Linked DNA regions of Oryctolagus cuniculus. The protein of the gene in region 3 interacts with the protein of the main gene of each other region in a biochemical or structural test. Links are inferred from orthologs where the notes say so. Each region holds a gene or a part of one and is shown on either strand. Other genes may lie near its edges.

Region 1 (4,094 bases), on a different chromosome or scaffold from region 3:
GCCCGGCAGCCACTCCCTCACCATACCCCAGAGCCCTGTTGTCACCTCCAGCAAGGGCAGAGGAGCCAAGCAATCCACTTGGCACCACATTCACGCCACCAGGGGCCCCAGGGATGAGGAAGAGACCTTAATGAGTCACCACGGGCCTGTTATGTGCCCTCCTCCCCCCCTCACCAGATACACGTATGTGGGAGGGACAGAGTCCTGGCTCAGGCCTACCTCCAGCCTTGGCAAGGAGTGCCCAGGGGACTCCCTACCCTTCCTACCCAGGGAGGGGTTGCTGGGCTCCGTGCAGCAGGCGCTGGGAGAAGAGCTGGGCACCAGCCAAGCTCCTGGTGGGAATCTCACCCTGCCCCATGCCCCCTGCCCTCCCAAGCCCTCCCAGCTTTCACTTCTCTGATGGTGGCTGCCAGGAGGAGGGGAGCTGTGGATGTTCTAAAGAAAGAAGCACCTGCTAACCAGCTGCAGCCAGATGTGCAGCCAGATTCTGCAGCTCAGCCTCTAGGCTACGACGGGTGATGGCGGCTGTCACAGACAGATTCCATAGGGCTTTTGGGTAGCGTCCCTGAGGAGTGAGAGGAAGAAATAGGAGAGGTACTGGCTTGTGTTGGGAGGTGAGGGGCTGAGGAGGGGAAGGGGGGGCGGGGAGAATAAGGAGAAGTGGCCCTAAACCTGAGGGAGAGGCGTCGGAAATGTCTCAACCTACGTGGGGGTGGGGATTCCAGCTGAGGCAGCAGGTATCCAGCTCTGTATCTGCTTCCAGTCGGGTGTGGGGAGGGGTAGAGGGGCAGAGGTGGTTCTGTGTGTCTAGGGACCAGCCCAACGCAGGAGGGTTTATAAAGCGCCCCCTTCTATGTCACCTAGCATCCCAGAGCGCCTTCCCCATCACACAGTGCCCCCAACTTCAGGAAGCGTGGCCAGGGGCTGCTCCCAGTTAGCGAGTGCACGAGACCCACGCGGCCTCCCGTACGAACTCATTCACATCACGTTTGCCCCCTCCCCAGTTCTACACACACAGTCGTCTGCCCTCTCCCATCGCTCCGCAGCCATTCGCCTTCCCTCGGGGCTCCTGGAACCCGCAGTGACGCGATTAGCAGCCCAGGCCGGCTCCGCCTCGCCCCAGCCGGCTCCACCCTAAGGCCAAGTCCCAAGCAGGCGACGGCTCCGCCCAGTGCTGCGAACTACAAGTCCCGCCGTCCCTCGCTCGCTCTCTCCCGCCTCTCCCGCGACCCTCACCGGCACCGCCTATGGGTCGGCCAGGAGGGCCTCCCATTGGCTTCTCCGCCCTGTCAGTCACCTGGGAGTAAGAGGGGCGGGGCGGAGGTAGAGATCCGGATCCGGAGCGGCTGAAAGGCGGAAGTGGAGGCCGGAGCCTGGGACACCGCCGGGGGGGAGAGGAGCGAAACCTGTCCGAGCCCCGTCCCCAAGTAACGCCGCCGTCCCCGGAGCCGCTGTGAGTGTGCCTGTCCTGGGATCCAGTGTCTCTCCAGCCCAGTTGCCTTTGCGGGGCAGCCCTTCCTTCTGCCCAGCCCTATCTTAGGGGGATACTGACCCCTCCCCCGACCCGTAGCCCCTTCTTAAGGCGCTCCGCAGGCGTCAGGCCACAGGAAGATCCCTTCTTTCCTCGACTTACCTGCCCTTTGTGAACCTTGGGGAAACCCCTGCGGCTCTCCTCTGGCCTGTCCAGTCCAGTCGCGGCGGAGAGGGACCCTGAGTTCCGCTCTCCCTGCTCCCAGAATCGGCCGGTCTTTGCCAGGTGTGCAGGAACCTGCCCCTCTTCTCCCGTAGAGGTGGCGGGGAGGGCTGTCTGTCGCCGTGTCCCCCCCACCCCGGTCCCACAGAAGCAGTTGTCCCCCGCCAGCCCTGGAGAAGTCTTGTCTCGATTTCCTTTGGGGGAGGGTGGTCTGGGGGAGGCGACTCCACGCGCATAGAAGTGTGTGTGCTCCCACAACTCCCGACTCGTTCTCCCTCCTCCAGCCAGAGAGCCAGCCAGGACCTCAGCGGAGTCTGGGGCGCGGGGCACTCCTTGGGAACGAGCAGCCTTCTTGTTTTGTCCCCGCTGTCCCCCGGCCCTGTCCTCTTGAGTGTATCTCTCTTCCTGCCTCTGAAGAATTCAGCTGAGGTTTGCTCAATGCTAGGTCAGGGTGGCTCTGCCCATTCATTATCTTCTGGCTCCCCTACTCCTCCCCCTCGGCTCCAGGCTCAGCCCTGTCCTCCCGAGAGCACGTGAGCGGTTCCCCAAGCTGCCTCTGCGGGACTGCCTTGTCCGCTGGGCTGTAGAGGAGAGAATAAGCCCAGAGAAGTGAGGAGCTGGGGCTTGAAGGACCGTTTCTTTGCTGCTCCCAGACACACACACTCGACCGCCGCCCCAGCAACAGGTCCACCCTCACCGGGGCCTCGCCTCAGTCCCCGGGGCTTGGACGTACTACAGACCAATGAGTCGAGGGCACAGTGGCAGTCTTGGGTTCTTAGCTAATTTCTGTAGCAAGAGGAGTTCCCAAATCTGCTAGAAAGGGCTGCCCTCCCCTCCCCCCGGCTGTTTTGCCATAGGATCCTACTCTGTTGTTTAGGAACTGGGTGTGTGAAATGGCTGCTGTCTCAGACCAGGCTAGACCGTTCTGTTACGTGGCCAAAGTACAGGCCAGAGACTACCTTAATGAGGAGCAGCTTGCCTGAGGCCAGGACTGACCCTTGCTATCTGCAGGGGAGGAAGGGAGGAGAGCCCCACGCTGCCGGAATCGCCGGAGCTCCTGGTGTTCCTGGGCCGCCCTCACTGCCCTTGGCTGCTGCTTCCCAGTGTTAAAGGTGTTTCTGCTTTGAGATCTTTTTTGCTGCTCTGGACAGTTGCTAGTGTGTGGTCCCTACAGTCTTTTGAGCTCGGTCTTGAACGCACTTGTTTCACTTTTTATTGGACAACAAAGCAAAACTTCCTTATTGGGCTCAACAGCTGGATCACGAGCCCTGAGCCCGTGTGGGCTCCTTGGAGACTTTGTCCGCCCTCCTCATCGGACCTGGTGGGGCTGTGGGGCTGAGGGCAGGGCCGCTGGTTCTGACGGGGTGGGCCGTGGCTGGCGGAGCGCTGCAGCAGTGCAGGGATGAGGCCGAGCGGCCGTCCGAGGGGTTCTTCTTTGCGTTGCAGCTCTGACTCGGAAGCAGGCTTCGGGAAGAGCAGCTCCCTGTTCAGAACAGTGGGGAAGGCTGTACAGCTCTGGGTGGCTGTGTAGCCACTCTGGCCTCCAAAAATTAAAGCATCGTAACAGGACGAACCCTGCCTGGCAGAGGGAGGGCTCTGTGTGGGGCAGAAGCCCCTCCTCTCTAACATGTTCCCTCCTTCCCTGGGCCCGTCACAGCGAGCTGGCCTTTTTTCTGCTGCTATACTACAGGGTGATGGTAACTGCTAATTGCTTTAGGTCATTGCAGAGTTGCAGACTTCTTTTCACACACGTCCCTCACACGTTCCTTGGGAGGTAGTGAGATTTGCATTTCCACATTGGAGATGATGCCTAAGACCACGCGGTTAGGAGGTGATGGCGCTGAGGCTTGGGATCTGGGCTCAGATGTGACCTCGGCCTTCCCTAGTGACTGGCCCTTAAATGAATGAACAGGTAGGGTGAGCATCAGGGGCACAGTGCAGGCTCTGAGCCCCTGCACCATCCTTGTCCCTGGCGCTGCTCTGCTTCCCATCTCTTCCCCCATCTTCACCCCGGCCTCCTGGCCTCCTCCTTGGCCCCCTGTGCTCTGCCTGCAGGGGCCCTGACAGGAGTTGGTGCTCTGCAGGGCCCAAGTTCGCTGACATCTGACTGCCGTCAGTTTCCTGGGAACCTGCCGGCTGATGGTTGGAAAGTGAAAGTGAAAGCCACTGGGCTCGGGGGCCTCCTGGGCCCCAGTGAGGGCGGGAGGGCCTCCGGCTGCCCTGCAGTGCTGCCCGAGGTGACGCGCCTTCACTTGAATTTACTGGAAACAAGGAGGTCAGGAGTTCAAGTTCAGCCCTACCAAGCAAGTGCTTCTTAGAAGAGGCTTCTTCCTGTAACCCCTGCCCAGCACACACAGAGGCGGTGTGGTGGGATGGGGGGCACTAGGGCTTTGGAGTCAGC
Region 2 (4,083 bases), on a different chromosome or scaffold from region 3:
AATTTCAAACAGGTAGTCTAAAGAAACCCAACGCCCCTGAACCCTTGGTCTTCCCAGAGCACAAAGCATCCAGGGAATGTTCCACAGGCCACTGTCAGCCCCATCTGGGAGCACTCACCAAGAGAAATAAGAGCAGACACGCCCAACATGCCGAGAAAACAGCCGAGCGGCCAGGGTTGTGAAAGCGCAGGAACAGGTAACAACGTCATCACCAGCAGACAGAACCTTCTGACACTCCACCTCAGGCAGCTAGAGCCAAAGTCACCAGCTGGCACTGCCAATGCCCCAAACAGCCGTACCTTCAATGGGAGGCATGTCCCCAAGCCATCAATGGGCAAATGGTCAGACACAGGATATCACCCCTCCAGGCTCTCCTAGGAGACAAGCAGACCCTGTATGAGGCCCTCTGGGCAATGGAGGGTGTGGCTGCCAGGGTCTGTGCGGCCTCAAAGAGGTGCGGCCTGGCTAAAAAACAGGAAGCTGAGTGGCAACTATGCACAAGACTTCACCCAGAGCAGCCAGACCTCCCTCTCAAAGAGTGCAGGCCCTGGGGAGCCTGGCACGCCCTCTTCCATCCACTGACCCTCACGGCCTTGCACACCAACAGGGTACGTCTAAAGCAGTTAAGGGCCCTGACGTCCCCAAGTGCGACATCAGCCAGATAACTGCCCTATCCAATGAGCACCTCCAAGGACAGCCTGTAGCATGCATCTGGCCCAGGAAAAGACCTGCCAAACCACCGGGACTTAACAAAGACAACTCAGTGTGGTTTATCAGGTCAGCCGCCCTTTCAAATAAGATACCCTCTGACCTCAATGAGACTGCAAGAGCTACCCTCAAAAGCAGGAGCCACACACTGATGTCCCCAAGCCACTTTCTGCCCAGAAATCTCTTCCCTGTCTCAATCAGCAATGTTCTGCCCCTCCAAGTTCAATTTCCTACCAACAGAGCCATCTCAAACAGTTAGCATAGGTGAGACTGGGCTCCAGGAAGCTGCCCAAAGAGTCTGTTTCGCTCTTGGAGATGCAAACAACAACAACAACAAACTAAACAGAACTTTTCCTACAGCTTGCTGTCACCCTGGGATCACAGATCACCAAGAATGCCACCATGGATCTTAAGGGATCATCTGGCAGAGTCCTCCACCTTAAAAGGCAAGCTGTGATTCTGTCCATTTTACAGATGAGACGGCTGAGTTCTTGTCCAAAACTGCACGGCTGGTTGGTGGGAAAGAATGAGAGCCCAGGTTTCCTGCTTCCTGATACAGGGCCTTTGCCACCTGATCCATGTCCACATAGAAGGCTGGACCCTAAACAATGATTGAAAATATGAAGTCACACGACGGGAGAAGCCCTGTGCCGCCTAAGTAGATGATTAGGGATAAAGTGTCACTCACATACACACACACACACCCCACATGCATCCAAAGTGCTCTCGGTCATGTGGGACGCAACATACCCGAACCTCCCAAGGAAGCATGGACTCTGGTCATTCTGGACAGACTAGAAGACAGGAGGCCCCCTCCTGCCACGTTGAAAGGCAAGAGGGACCCGAATGGCATCCTTCCAGGTCCAGGCTGCTGCCGACCAAGTCCAGAGGGCTGGGAAGTCTCAGGCAGTCTGAGGCTAGCGCCATCCAGTGAGTGTGAGTCACGGGCAGGGGGTAGGGCTGGGGAGGACACAGTTCTGCCCACCGATGGTTCCAGAAGGGCCTGGATGAAGCCCAGAGCCGCCCGCGGTCTGGTTCCACAGAGTCCTAACCTGGACACACCTCTGTCCTTCCGTCCCATCTGACTGCTTAGCACTTCTGAGGCCCGTCAGAAGGGGTCTAATCCTTCCACTGCTCTTTTAAGGGAAACGGAGTTCTTGGGAGGCAGATTTGGCCAACCGCAAGGGCGGCACACCAAGCCACCAGGCCAAAGTCTGCAGGAAACACGGCCTGCCTTTAAAAGCAGCAATTCTGGAACTGGATGTGGCCCCCAAATGGAAGGGACCCTCAAACATCCCCGAGTCCCCAGGGCCGCCAGAGCGCTGCGCACCCGTTTCTGGCTACTCCTTCGGGTTAAGACACAGCCCGCTGAGGAGGGGAAGTGGTGATGGGGGCCTCTCTCCGCCTGCTGCTGCTTGTCCCCAGCTCCAAAGGCCGCCGCACCCCCAGCCCTGTCCCTTCTGCCCCCTCCAGCCCGGCCACCCTCAGATGGCTCACCTAGGGCTCGGCTTTTATTTATTTATTTATGTTTGATAAACCAACGGCTCCAGGAGGCACACGAAGACGGGGGCCTGGGCTGAGGAACTTAAACTTGCGGGCGGAAGGAAATTATCAAAGACGAAGACGAAAGCTCTCCCGGGCCGCCGCGCCTCCAGTCCCCGCCGAGGGAGCCCGGGCGCCCCTGCCCGGCCCGCCCGCAGCCCGGCGAGGCCCGAGCGGCTCCGGGCGGGGAACGCGCCGGGGCCGAGGCGGAGCGAGTGGAGAAAACTCGGGGACGGCTCCGGCTCGGGGCGCACGCTGGGGCGCGGGGAGCGCACAAGCCTGGGGCTGGGGGCGCTCGGAGGCGGGCGCGGGGCAGGGACAGGCGGAGGGGGCGCGCACTCACCCCGAGAAGGCACACTTTGAGCTCGCGTATCGCCATCATGTGCTCGGGGCCGCGTCGGCCGGGGGCTCAGCAGCATCGTCCGGGGCCGGGGCCGCTGCGCCCGCCCAGCCTGCGTCCCGCGGCTCGGCCCCCGCGCCAGCCCGCGGGCGGAACCGCCGCCGCTGCTATTTCTGGGCCGCGCGCCGCGCCGCGGCCGGTCACGTGGCCGCCGGCCGGCTCCTCCCGGGAGCCCGCGGAGCGGCTGGGCGGCTGGGACGGCCTCCTGGGCCCCCTGGGCATCCGCCCCTCGCCGCCCCGCCCCAGGGGGTGGAGGCACGGGCCGGGCTGCGGGCAGACCTGGGCGCAGTGGACGCTGCTGCTCGCCCGGCCGCTTCCTTCCGACGGGGGCCCTCGCCGGGCAGTGGGCGTCCCGCCGCTAACCGCCCCGGTGGTGCCCCCCGGTAGCAGTCGGGCCTGAGCAGAGGGGCGACCGTGCGGCCGCCTTCTGCAGTTCCTAGCGCCTGGGCCTCGCTTTGCGGCTTCATAGCTCGGGTTCAGTTCTCTGTACGTAACTGAAGATGATTCTAGAAGCATTGGTCTCTTCCTGCCTCCACAAGTGGCATTTGGGAGAGGGGACCCGCCTTCTCCGTGAGACAGTTCGTGCTGGGGCCAGACGTGGAACCAGAAATGCAGAGTTGCGGGCAGACCAGGTGAAGAGGCTGCAACTTGGGAGAGTGGCCGCTGGGTTCCTGTCCCTGCTCCACGCACCTCATATGCCCTCCTCTGTTGCTGCTGTAAGCCAGCTAAATAATCCACTGGTATTTCAGCTGGGAAATTTTTTTAAGACTTTTTAAATTTTTATTTTCTATCTCAAAGAGTGACAGAGAGATCCTCCATCTGCTGGTTCACTCCTCAATTACTGGCCACAGCCAGGGCTGGGCTAAGTCAAAGCCCGGAGCTGGGAACTCAGTATGGGTCTGCCCAGGCACTCTGACCATCATCTGCTGCCTCCCTAGGGTGCGCATTAGTAGGGTGCTGCATCAGAAGCAGAGTAATGAGGACTCAAAGCAAGCACCCAGACATGGGATGTGGGTATCCCAAATGGTATCTTAACCTGTGCACCAAATACCTGCCCCCTCAACGCCAGCTTTCAAAATTTCATCCTTTGGGAACGGCAGTGTGGTGTAGCGGGTTAAGCCACCACCTGCATCCCTGGCATCCCATATGGGTGCAGATTCGTGTCCCAGCTGCTCCATTTCTGATCCAGCACCCTGCTAATGGCCTGGGAAAAGCAGTGGAGGATGGCCCAAAGCAGTGGAGGGTGCCACCCTTTTAAGAGACCTGGAAGAGGCCGGCGCCGTGGTTTACTAGGCTAATCCTCCGCCTGTGGCGCCGGAACACCAGGTTCTAGTCCCGGTCAGGGAGCCGGATTCTGTCCCTGTTGCTCCACTTCCAGGCCAGCTCTCTGCTGTGTCCCGGGAGGGCACAAGTCCTTGGGCCCTGCACCCACA
Region 3 (3,500 bases):
TAACAAGTAGAAAGCATTTATTTTAACAAAAAGATTAAGGTAACATTGAAATACGTCACTAAACAATACACCAGTCACTCAAACGTTAATATACTTTTACAGTGTAGTTTGCTATATTCGTATAGTTTCATATACTTTCCATATAATTTTATGCTTGAAAGTGTTTCTTCTTTTATGTCGTTTATAGCATCATTGCCGACAGTGTGGGAATATCTTCTGTGCTGAGTGTTCAGCCAAAAATGCCTTAACTCCTTCTTCCAAGAAGCCTGTTCGTGTCTGTGATGCATGTTTCAATGACTTGCAAGGATAATGGATTATCACAACTTCAGAGTAATAGTACACTAACAATAGATTTTTAATAAATATACTTAATAGAATTCATGGACTACTGTTTGATTGGGACAGTGGTTGCCACACTAGACCAAATTAGAATTCGTATATTTTGCAATGTTATCAATATCAAGTAAAAGTCTTCTATTTTTGTGAGACTTGGGCTCATCTTTCATTACTTTTTTTTCATTTAGCCACTAGAACAGCTTTCATGCTAAGTTTAAAATCAGCCAATGAAATGTAAATAAACTTTGAACAGAAAATAGCAATGTATTTTTTTAATATAATTTCATTGTTCATAATGGTGAATTCCATAGCTTGTTTTTCCCAGTTTTAATATACAGAAATATACATGAATGATGTTATCACTTATTGCTGTTTTTGTTGCACAACACATTAATCATATTAAATATTATCTTTGTGGAGTCATGCACAAAACTGTAATAATTTCTGGCTACCTTTTCCTCTTATACATAGGTTCACAGCTCAGTTATATTATGTAATAAATTTACTACTTGGGTGTTCTAAATATAGTTCATGTCAAAATCTGTATTAAACATGAATTTTAACTTGGTTTTTGTTTTTAACAATATTGATTAAATTCTCTGGTACATTTTATGAGAACCTCTGTAAAATTAATTTGTGTACTTTATGGTTATCCTGGGATTGTATTTTAAAGTTAGGGTTAATATTCTTTTTTCTTTTTGTATTTTTCTGTATCATTTTCTAACTCCCACATAGTGTCTATTTAAAATACTACAAAACTTCCTACCCTTACCCTCAGCTGCAGGATGAATATTAGACACTGTGTAATGGTCCTATTCTTGTTTGCTTGTAATTGGGGAGTTTTCTGAAACTAGCCTTCTTATCATACCCTTCTTTTTTCTCTCCATCATCTTTAGGAAAGTGAGTTTGCCTTTTTTAATGGATCTGTTTTCCCTTTTCTTGGCTTAATCTTTCCAAGCATAGCTCAGCTTCATTGTAATTGTTTCATATTTTCCACCTTAAAGCTAGTAATTAAATTGTAATAGTTGTATCTATGAAAACAAAATAAGAAATGGTAAGAAGATATTAAATATTCTGCTTTATATTTTCTTCTAAAAATTTTTAAAAAATTATACAATTGACTTAAGCTTAAAATCGTTCTGGGTTGGATTCCACATCAACTGGGAATACTTTTTTATATATAATGATATAAAAAATTACCTTGAAGTAACAGCTGGAGAATAGAGCTTCACCCAAAACATTTATATTTAAAAAAACTCAAAATTGCCATAAAGACTGAAACTGAATAGCTAAGCATCTTAAGAATAATTAAGGATCAGCCAACTTGAAGGCTAAACGATTTAACTGAGCATTAATTTATCATAATTTTGTTGATTTGAAAAAGTGGAAAACATTGAAGAATCATTAATATTTGTTTATTCATCGTCCAAGGAAAGATATGGAAAATTATACATTAATTTAATGCAATCATTTAATAACAATAGCCAAGGATGGGAGTTAATATGTCATTTACAATAGTTTATAATGTACACTTTCAAATATTGCTGAAATGAAATTATGTCTATGCTATATCTAGGATATATATAAACTAATGGAGATTGTCACATACTTATTTCATTATTTAAAAAACATTTTAAGTAAACCATGTTGTCAATAACTATTGACACTGATTAAGTTCCAGGATTTGGATAAACATATATTCTTGAGCATATATAATAAAGAAATACAGTGGCTCTTTATCAAAAATAATAGTTGGATAATATAACCTAAGATGTTTTATGCTTTTTGTATACTTATAGATCCTTTCAAATAGTCTTAATCCTATACTTTTACATTTATTTAATAAATTAAATGTATTAGAAAATCAAAGATACTCCCAGCACCACTGTATCGTTTTCTTTTTAAGATAAAACTTAACGAGAATTCTGGATTAGAATATCTGTTCTCATCTCCTAATTGGATACACTACAGGAATTTCCTGGTAATCCCCACCCCTCATTTTCATATACACACACACACAAATTGTGGACACACAAATAAAACCATGTGTGTTTGAGTGATTTTTTCTTGTTTTTTTTTTTTTTTATACAAGTAATCTGATTTCATATGTCCTGAATAATTTATGTACCTTAGGCTACTATACTGATCATACAAAAAATGAAACCTGATGTTTTCACTGTTAATTTTCTTTAATTTAATATGTTTTGGAAATAAAAATTAAGCCCCTCCCCCATTTTAATTAAGAAGTCCTCTTCTGAGTTATTGTTGGCTATATAGTTTAGATGTTTGTTGGTACTATTATTTTGTTGGTGAGTTAGAGCTGACACATATGGAATCCCAGCTCTTGGCTCTAATGTAAAACATATTGACATCACGTTAGTAAATTGCAAACTCCAGCACAGGAATGTGAGTTAAAACCAAGTCTTGCTTGGTAGTTAGAGTAAGATAAACCTACAGAATTTTTTAATAGAAAGAAGACAAAGCTGCTAGTATAGGACTTGCTCATTTTGAAGGAAAAAGGGAACAAACACAAAAACCTCAATGAAGTATACAAATAACATTTTGTTCAACTACCTCTTAATGTGGAGTTAGCCAGTTTAATAGTTTCTTTACAGTAATGTTAAATAGTAACTGCCAAATTTGTTGTTTTCCCATCCTTCAAAAAGTCTTTATGATTGTTTTATATAGTTCTGAGAATTTCAAAGCCACTTTTTTAACTTTGCATTTGCATAAAAATGTTTAGCTTTTAAGTGAAGAGCAAATTATGATCATATATTTTGATATTCATGACCTGTTTGACTAGCAATTTTTTTTTTGAAATGCACTTTGGCTATAAAACCATGGATGATTTGATCCATAGATTTAATAAATGTGCCATCAATTTAGTATTCCTGGACATGAGCTTGATGAATGGTATTCTGTAATTTTAATGTGCCACACATTATCATGTCTTAATTGCCCTTTGCCTGAATTTTAATGATCAATTTGTTATTGTTGCAGATGTGAATATTGTGCATAAACTTACTAAATTTATGTAAAATTGTATAAAATAGAATTGGGAATCACTAGGTCCTTTTTGTGTAGAAGTAAAGAATTTATTGTAAAGATGATACAGTTATGTATATGACATTCTGTACTTCCTTGAACTGGATCATATGTTCATA

Evidence for each region.
Region 1: the proteins of EEA1 (region 3) and RAB5C form a complex in vitro, tested with the Homo sapiens proteins (2 studies listed by BioGRID and IntAct, with this or other methods). The link is inferred for Oryctolagus cuniculus from reciprocal best matches to the Homo sapiens genes EEA1 and RAB5C.
Region 2: the proteins of EEA1 (region 3) and RAB31 form a complex in vitro, tested with the Homo sapiens proteins (2 studies listed by BioGRID). The link is inferred for Oryctolagus cuniculus from reciprocal best matches to the Homo sapiens genes EEA1 and RAB31.

What each region holds. Positions count from the first base shown.
Region 1 is NC_091448.1:20,642,926-20,647,019, forward strand, and holds the start of RAB5C (ras-related protein Rab-5C), read left to right. Parts: upstream 1-1,294; 5' UTR 1,295-1,453; intron 1,454-1,633; exon of another isoform or gene 1,634-2,369; intron 2,370-4,094. UniProt on the Homo sapiens protein: The small GTPases Rab are key regulators of intracellular membrane trafficking, from the formation of transport vesicles to their fusion with membranes.
Region 2 is NC_091441.1:66,884,570-66,888,652, reverse strand, and holds the start of RAB31 (ras-related protein Rab-31), read right to left. Parts: upstream 2,801-4,083; 5' UTR 2,633-2,800; coding exon 2,594-2,632; intron 1,495-2,593; exon of another isoform or gene 1,480-1,494; coding exon of another isoform or gene 1,459-1,479; intron 1-1,458. UniProt on the Homo sapiens protein: The small GTPases Rab are key regulators of intracellular membrane trafficking, from the formation of transport vesicles to their fusion with membranes.
Region 3 is NC_091442.1:95,678,650-95,682,149, reverse strand, and holds part of EEA1 (early endosome antigen 1), read left to right. Parts: intron 1-187; coding exon 188-310; 3' UTR 311-3,500. UniProt on the Homo sapiens protein: Binds phospholipid vesicles containing phosphatidylinositol 3-phosphate and participates in endosomal trafficking.